Linked DNA regions of Callithrix jacchus. The main gene of each other region encodes a partner of the protein of the gene in region 2 in a complex. Links are inferred from orthologs where the notes say so. Each region holds a gene or a part of one and is shown on either strand. Other genes may lie near its edges.

Region 1 (4,237 bases), on a different chromosome or scaffold from region 2:
GTAATGAGTAAGTGCAATGGCGCGATCTCGGCTCACCACAACCTCCGCCTCCTGGGTTCAGGCAATTCTCCTGCCTCAGCCTCCCGAGTAGCTGGGACTACAGGCACACGCCACCATGCCCAGCTAATTTTTGTATTTTTAGTAGAGATAGAGTTTCACCTTGTTGACCAGGATGGTCTCGATCTCTTGACCTTGTGATCCACCCGCCTTGGCCTCCCAAAGTGCTGGGATTATAGGCATGAGCCACCGCACCCCGCCATGAGTAATTCTTTAATGTAGTAATTAATTTTTATTCTTTTGACTTAAAGTTCAGGGTACAACCCCTGCCCTACTTTGTTTTTAAATCTATTAGAAATCACAAGACATAGCACTTAGGACATCCCTCCAGCACCTGGGGGATATTCTCCTCCTGAATGAATGTAACCCCTGCCACCTGCTGAGTGTGCCCCATGAGACCATCCAGAGAGGACCTTGTCCTCTGTATTCTCGAGCCCTTGTTTGTCCCCGATCCAAGTATTCCATTCACAGACTCAGATACGGATGTCATGGGCCACCCTTTTCTTCCCTGTGAATATAGTACAAGCAATCAAAAGGTAAGACTACATTCACAGAAAGCAATGACTTTCAAGGCACCCACAGGGCACTTTGTGTCTGACCATATTGTTTTTTAAAATTTCAGAGGGTTGCCACTTTTAACTTTAAAATATTGTTGGCCGGGTGCGGTTGCTCACACCTGTAATTCCAGCATTTTGGGAGGCCGAGGCAAGATCACCTGAGGTCAGGAGTCCAAGACCAGCCTGACCAACATGGTGAAACCCCGTTTCTACTAAAAATACAAAAAAAAGAATTAGCCTGGGCATGGTGGCGGGCCTCTAATCCCAGCTATTTGGGAGGCTGAGGCAGGAGAATGGCTTGAACCTGGGAGGCGGAGGTTGCAGTGAGCCAAGATCGCACCATTGCACTCCAGTCTGGGCAACAAGAGCAAGACTCCGTCTCAAAATAAATAAATAAATACATAAATAAAATATTGTTTAATCCCTGTAACTCACTTCAGTAAGTCTTCACTGTCTTTGAATCAAAGAGAAAAGATTGTTGAATGAAACAGAAGGTCTGACTGAATGTGTGCCCTGTTGCTCCTGTGCTTTGAGAGCCTTTCTCCCAGGCCGTTCACATTCCAAACTGACATTTTATTCTCTGAGATAAATATCTTAGGCTAGAATAATTTTAAGTCAAAGCGCAGGATCCGTGTGCACCATAGCTGCATGGCTGTGCTGCGGACACTGACCCTGTGCCCTCCCGTCCTGAGGGCTCCCCAGTGGCCGGCTGGACTGCGAGGCTCTGCCCAGGTCATCCACACACCGGCTGGGCAGCCCACCTCAGCCTCCCGCCTTCTCCATCCCCTCCCCGGGGCAGAAAACCTGCTCACTCAGTGCAAGTCTGTACCAGCCCCTCCCTCCACACCCAGGTGTGCGGGAGAGCAAAGACACTGCCGTCTGCTCTTCTGGGTGGCCTCCGCCCTCTGAGTGGCGACAGATAGGAACTTGAAGAAAGTTTATGGAGTGAATAAGTACATATTTATATTACAATTATTGTGAAAGAAAAATGGCACTAAGAAACCCTTGTTTGCCTTTTTAGCCGTGAAGCCTGAGGGGAAGGGGTCAGGAGCTATGGTCCCACAGCCAGCCGCTAGCTGCGGGGCATCCCCAGGCCATCCTGGGCTTTCTCTCCCCAAGTCCAGTGCAGGCCACCAAGTGCCCCTGCGAAGGGTCCCTTCTGTCCCAGCCTTGCGGGCAGCTCCACCTTGCTCTGCTCTTGCTGGGTGCGAACAGACACGTGCGAGGAGCTTCTCGCTTCTGTCTCCACCTTCCTTCCCTGCGCATCCTGCCCTCCTCCCTCCAGCGCCTCCCCACGTGCCCGGCCGCCCCCTCGAACCCCCTTTTCCAGGGGCTTTTCCGTTTTCCCCGCATTCACGCGACTTCTCTGCCTGTGGGTGTCTCATGACCCTCTAGAGCGGCGACTTCTTCCTTCCTCATTCCTTCCACTCCCCTCGGGCATCTAAGTAGCAGGAAGCCAACTGTCCAAAGTTGATTTGGGAGCAGCCGCCTGCGTCTTGCGCCCTTCTAAAATAATCCGGGAACGGTCCCTGTAACATAAGTCGCCGTCTGCTGAAATTGGCGCGTCCTCAACCACTCCCTGCGGCCAGCGTGAGGGGGAGAAGAACGGGGCGTTCCTGGCACGGTCAGGTGTCTGCGGGCAGCAATCTTAGTTAATTCTCAAAACCCCGGAAGACCCAGAAATGAGGCGTTGACAGGGACCTAACCTGTCCACTACCCTCGCCCGGTGGGACTGAAACCCATGTCTTTGGGCTGCTCTACCAGTTTATTTCCAAAAAGGCCTCCCACACCTGAGGAGGGACATAAAAAGCTGGTCCCGTTGCCAGTCTGATTTCTTAAGTCTCGACCTTGGTAAATCTAATACGCTCATGACCTCTTTCAGGGAGCTGGGAATCTGCAGAGATGCTCTGTTCTCTGCTGTACTAATTTCAGGCTTCCTAAAACCCGTGCCTCGACCGGCTCCCAAGGGAATCCAGGAAGCCCCAGGCGCAGGGCAAAGGATGGGGCGGGACTTGGACATCATACCTGCGCTCTGGAAGCCGCTGGGAGCGCGGCCGACTCCGGCCGCGGAGAGGACAAGCAACGGTTTGGGCTCCTCATCCGCGACGCGGGTTCCCCTGCGCCCTCGGGGCCTCCCGTGAGCTCCGTGGGGGGACAAAGCCAGCGCCAGCAGGAGGAGCGCGGGCAGCTGGGTGCCGGGCTTAGGCAGCCGCATGTTCCCACGCCGGGAGGAGAGAGCAGGGGGCTCGCGGAGGATCCTGACGCGGGTCTGGAGAGTGCGCGGCCCAGGAGAGGACCAGCGGGACCCAGGGCGCGGCTACCCGGCAGGCCGCAGTCCTCGCCGCGCGCCAACCCTCGTGTGCGTCCGGGGTTCGGCTGGAGCTGCTCTGGGACCCGGCCCCCAGCGTGCGGTAACTTACTTACGGGGCGCGGGGGCGGGAACGGGAGGCGGTGCCTGGGGCGGCAGTGTCGTCCCCCGATGAGGGCGTGTCCCGTTGTGCGGGACCCTCGGAAGTCCGCGCTGCCTGCCGGGGTGGACCCCAGCCTCGGACTCAGCGGGTCTCAGGGCTTCCTACGCGACGCCTGCCTCGGACCCGGACCCCGGGCTCGCTCTCCGGTCGCCGTCCCTGGGAGGACTCAGTAGGGTACCCGCCGCATCGCCCCAGCGGTTCTCCCCGAGCTCTGTCTCCCGCCCTCGCCTGCCCTTCCCGCTCAGCCTCGGGGTCCGTCGCGGCTTCCCTTGGTTGGCGGGGTCTGTAGAACCCGCCGCGCCTAGGTCGGGACAGAAGAAGGCGGCGCAGGGGTGCGGCCAGGAGGAGCGGGGATCGCGGTGCCTTGGGCGCAAAGGTGCGGGTGCGCTCTCCTGCCGAGCTCCTGCTTGCTCGGGAATGCTGGCCCCGCCGTCGCGCCCGCCGCCCCTGCCCCAGGAGGGGGCCCGACCTGCCCTCTGGGTGCGGCACCGCGATATCTCCCGGGTTGGAAAGCGGAGAACCGAGGAGGTCGAGGGCACCGGGACCAGCTTCCCTGGCCTCCCTGGTGGGGCGTGGCGGGTTCCGATACTTCCCCCCGGTGACATCGCCAACGTTGACCAGTGCGCCCAGGAAAGCAGCCGGCTGGATTTTTCAAGTTAGGGAACTCTTCAAACTCTAACTCTAAAGAGTTTTAGTGTTAACAACTTACAAACTGAAATTAAGGCGAGTTCTGATTAAAATAAAGCGAGCATCTCTGATGAAACCGCGCTCTGTGAACTGTCGTGGTTTTAGTCATTTCAGCCGTCTGCTTTGTTGCTTTATATTAAGTATATTGGAAAATGTTGAAATTGCTCTCTAATCAATTGACTACTAATTATCTCCTCATATGCGAAGGGCAGATAGGTGGAAAGACGAAGGCAGGAATAGCTAAGGGCACTGAGGCTTCTTAGCCCCTAGGCATCGCCCAACGTTAACTACTCTACAAAAAGGGATCTTGTCGGTCACAGATCCTGAAAAATGACCTCGACTCCTTCAAATAGTTTATCTACGCTTGGCGTTGCCAACGTGCCTGAGAAACTGCAGAAACAAAGCGAGCTTTGCAGGAGCCTGTGAAATCGTGCCTTTGGATGAAGCTCTTTTGAGGAAGTTATG
Region 2 (4,318 bases):
CGCCTGCCTGCCTAAGCCCCTCATGTCCCATGTCCTCACAGTCCCTTTCTGTGAGGATGTGAATGATGTGTGTATATATGAACAGTACAGCCTGCACAGGTACACAGCCTCTGTTTCTTTTTCTTTTTTTTTTTTTGAGACAGAGTTTTGCTCTTGTTACCCAGGCTGGAGTGCAAATGGCGAGATCTCGGCTCACTGCAACCTCCGCCTCCTCGGTTCAGGCAATTCTCCTGCCTCAGCCTCCAGAGTAGCTGGGATTACAGGCGTGCACCACCATGCCCAGCTAATTTTGTATTTTTAGTAGAGATGAGGTTTCTCCATGTTGATTAGGCTGGTCTCAAACTCCCGACCTCAGGTGATCCTCCTGCCTCAGCCTCCCAAAGTGCTGGGATTACAGGCTGAGCCCCCTCACCAAGCTGATAGATAATTTGCATTTTGAACAGCCTAGGCTGTGTGGATATTACCGGTTCCTGGACCACACTTTGAGAACCACTGACTTAACCCAGGCATGCCTTTCTGCCTCCCTGCTCAGCTTGCACACTTGGTCAGCTCTAAGTTCTGGGGACAGCTGCAGAACAAGGCAGGGACCTGCTGTGATGGGAAATACCTTGGACTGAATGGAAATCTAGGGAGTCCTGTCTGCATGCCGATTTGTGGTGTATTTTACCTTTTCTAAAAGCTCCTGCTTTGCCTGGAGCTGCTGAGCGGGTCTTAATGCCTTTCCCACTCCTATCCTCCTGAGGGCTGCAGCCTGTGCTGAGGTTCTAATCTCATGTCACCTTCGGGCCTGCTCAGCTGCCCTCTCCAACCGTATACGTACCCCGGTAGCCGCCGCCGCCTCCGCCCGCAGTGCAGGCCCCGCCGCCGCCCCCAAAGCCGCCGGCCGCGGCCCAGCCGAGCGTCGCCCAAGCCTCGGGGCAGCCCTGGCCGCCCTCCGCCCCCTCCTGCAGTGAGCCGCCGGCCTGCAGAGAGGGAGCCCGCGACGTCCAGCCGCCTCCTCCACCTGCAGAGCGACAGCAGGAAGGTTGGTAGCCACACGGAGAGCACTCCCGCCTCTCCCCGCGGGCCGCGTCCTCACCTGCTGCCCCGCCTCTCCCGCCACTCCCGGGCGCCTCCAAGCGGTTCTCCAGTTTCTCGGGGGCGGCCAGAGTCCGGCCTCCGTCCCGCGGCCTCAGGTAGGCCCGACCGCCACCTCCGGCAGCCACTAGCAGCGGTTCCAGCTCGCTGGCGCGCACCTGTGGGGCCAGCGGCGCGTTCCAGGACGCTTCCTCCTGCCGTCCAGGGGCACTGGCACTGGGCAAGGGCTCCCACCCTGGGGGTCCGGATAAAGGCAAGACCCCCCCGAAGCCCATCACAGGGTTAGAGGGACCCTAAGAGATGGACGTAGAGTGCGTGCGTGCCCGCCCCTGAGGAGAGGATAGGGACCCCAACGCTGAGCGCCGAAGGGAGCACGTACCCGAAAAACGTAGGTGGCGCCCCCGCCACCCCCGCCACCTCCTGCCCAGCGCCTCGACGCCAGGGCCCCTTCGCTCCCATCCCTCGCCGCGTGTTCTTCAACGGCTCGAGACTCCCCAAGGCAGACTAGCTGGCTCTCCGGGCTACCCTGCGGGCAGCGGGGGCGGAAATCGGCGGGGTCCGGGAGCCTCCCCTCGCTGTGCAGGTGACCCGGTACCGAGGAAGGCTCATCCCCCCCGGCCCCCAGGCAGCCTTCACCCCGCGGCGCCGGAGCCGCCCCATCCCCACTGGCTGCGCTCACTCCAGGACAGGCGTCCTCTCCCTGCTGCCCCACCAGGATGTACAGCGACTCTCCGAGACCGAGGGAGAAGATTGCTGAGACGAAGACCCCATGCGCCCGCGACAAGTGGTTCTTGGCGCCTTTGCCGCCCGCGGCTCCGTAGGCTGAGATCCTGCGGAGAGCGGGCGGTGAGACCCCAGCCCTCGGTGCTCAGGCCGGCCGCTACGGGCAGAAGGTGACGATAGAGAAGGCTCCAGAATTATTTTTTATCTGAGGAACTTGGAGGCTGCAATAGACTCTGACGGGATGGGAAAGCTGATTTTGCACACCGAAAAATTAAATATCACACTATTTCAGGAGGGTTCGTGGAGATGTGGGGAGGCTCAAGCACCCTTTGGCACCGCCCTGGTTGGGGGGCTTCCGCTTGGTGGAAGAGGTTCCAGGTACGGTCTAACACGGTGGCGATTACTGCCACCTTGAGGGGCACTCAAGGTCAGCCTGGGTGGACCTCTCTGGGCAATACCCCAAGACGCAAGGCGGTGCACACGTGGCCTTCATTCCCCTGACGGTGAAACCTCCGACTCCGAGGTCACTGCCCACCCTACCCCCGCCCCGCACTTACAGATACTGGCCGGGGCTCGGCACGCGCCACAGCTGCACGCCTCTCAGATGCCCGGCGGCCTCCACGGTCACCACCACGCTGGTCCCCGCGTACGCCCCGTCACATTGTGTCTGTGTGGGCCCATGCCTGCCACTGGCCCCGCAGGTATTAAACAGCCAAGACCTCTCGGTGCCTGGGAGCAAGGAGCGAGGCAAGGATCGTCGACCCCTGGCTGGGCCAGAGGGGTCTGGAATGGTGAGCGGAAGAGGAGGGAGACGCCTGGAGCTCACCCTGAGAATTCAGCTGGGAGGTTGGCTCCAAGCTACTAGGCCGGGCCCTGACTTTCGGGTCCAGGGGGCTAGGACTTGACAGCGGCAGGGGCGAGGATGGCAGAAAAGGCTCCTGGGACCCGGGGCTAGAGCAGAGAATGGCGCCTGAAAGGTGTTAGCAGAGGGCGCAGGATGTTAACGGGGGTGGAAATAGGATATAAAAGAAAGAACCCCGCAACAGCAGCCCTTGAGGACGCGGCCACACCCTTCACCCTGCCCAGCCTACAAGTCACCACCGGACTCCCGTCGCAGAAGCCCCGCGGGTGCTCGCTCATAGCTCTGCCAGTTTCTCTCCTCGAGCGCCCTTCCCAGTGAATGACTTGGGGGCCGCACAGAATTCGGTTCTGCAGTCTCCCCGTGCTTTCCTCGACTTAGATTGATGGCCCCGCCCCAAGGCGGTGCTGAGACCGCAAAGAATGTTCCTCCTTCCCAGGCTGCGTGATCCAGACTCTGGGATTCACACGCGCTTGGCGCTTCTCCGTCTGCACTTCAGAAGCACGGGCCCAAGAAATTTGGTTGTGAGAGTTCCAGAGCTCTGGAGGAACCACTGACACCTGGCCTGTTGCGACCGGCCACCCCCAAGCCTAGGAAGGTGCCTCTGGCTGAACCGTCCCCTGACCAACAGACAGCACTTACCCGCGGCTCCGAACCATACCAGCAGCAGGCCCCAGCGGCCCATCTCCGTTGGGTCCACCCCGCAACAGCCCTTGCGGTCGCGGCCACGCCCGTCAACCTGAAGTTGACAGCCCACTTTGCCACTGCGGCCCGGGCTGCAGCTTACAGGGGTGTAATGCGGCTGGCAAGACTTAACCCAGGACTTAAAGCCGGCCTGACCACGCCCACCTCAGACCCCAGGACGCCAGAGGAGGAAAGGGCGGGGCGTGTGGGCAGCGAGGTCCCTACGCTTCCGGGAGGAGCCTTAAGGAGTCCCCACCTAAGGCTCTAGTCTTCAGTCGTCACATCTGCCGCAGCCAGCCGGGAGCTGGGTAGGTTTGAGGCCGGAAAGGAGGTGCCCCACTCTCAAAGCGGGAGCCACGCCTCAGACACCAGGTGGGGCTTCCAGGTTCCTGAGGACAGGATCAGTGGAGGGTGCACTTCATTTGTGGTGGTGGTGGGTGTGTGGCACGCGTGACCACACATAGGATGTACTTTTTTTTTTTTTTTGAGACAGAGTCTTGCTCTGTCACCCAGACTGGAGCGCAGTGGCACGATGTCGGCTCACTGCAACCTCTGCCTCCTGGGTTCAAGCGATTCTCCTGCCTCAACTTCCTGAGTAGCTTCCTGAGGCGCCCGCCACCACACTCAGCTAATTTATTTTCTCTATTTTTAGTAGAGATGGGGTTTCACCATGTTGGCCAGGCTGGTCTCGAACTCCTGACCTCGTGTTCTGCCGGCCTCCGCCTCCCAAAGTGCTGGGATTAGGGCGTGAGCCACCGCGCCCAGCTGGGAAGTACTCTTTAAACTGCCCCAAGTAAGGTCTCATTACTTGCCATTGCTTGTGGCTTTCAGTGCTGCCCTTGTGATTGCAAGGCTGAACCTCCCTGCTACCCCCCGAAACTTGGATCTCTGTGTTTGCCTTATGTAGTTTGGTTGCCTGTGTTAATCCTGTGCACAACTTCTCACTGTGATGGGATAAAAGACTGGATGAGATGT

What was found.
Region 1: the proteins of LTK (region 2) and ALKAL1 are in contact, whole or in part, in a crystal structure (PDB 7NX0), measured with the Homo sapiens proteins. The link is inferred for Callithrix jacchus from reciprocal best matches to the Homo sapiens genes LTK and ALKAL1. Residues at the interface, in NP_002335.2 of Homo sapiens: Tyr124, His140, Phe143, Ala250, Ser251, Pro252, Glu253, Leu359, Phe360, Leu361, Gln362, Leu364, Ala365, Val366, Glu368, Glu372, Glu374, Arg376; in NP_997296.1 of Homo sapiens: His93, Arg96, Leu97, Asn100, Thr101, Arg102, Glu103, Arg112, Arg115, Leu116, Arg119, Leu120, Ser123.

What each region holds. Positions count from the first base shown.
Region 1 is NC_133517.1:2,002,496-2,006,732, reverse strand, and holds the start of ALKAL1 (ALK and LTK ligand 1), read right to left. Parts: upstream 3,004-4,237; 5' UTR 2,830-3,003; coding exon 2,640-2,829; intron 1-2,639. UniProt on the Homo sapiens protein: Cytokine that acts as a physiological ligand for receptor tyrosine kinase LTK, leading to its activation. Monomeric ALKAL1 binds to LTK, leading to LTK homodimerization and activation.
Region 2 is NC_133509.1:45,093,548-45,097,865, reverse strand, and holds the start of LTK (leukocyte tyrosine kinase receptor), read right to left. Parts: upstream 2,983-4,318; 5' UTR 2,941-2,982; coding exon 2,892-2,940; intron 2,771-2,891; coding exon 2,627-2,770; intron 2,530-2,626; coding exon 2,358-2,529; intron 1,908-2,357; coding exon 1,457-1,907; intron 1,236-1,456; coding exon 821-1,235; intron 1-820. UniProt on the Homo sapiens protein: Receptor with a tyrosine-protein kinase activity. Following activation by ALKAL1 or ALKAL2 ligands at the cell surface, transduces an extracellular signal into an intracellular response.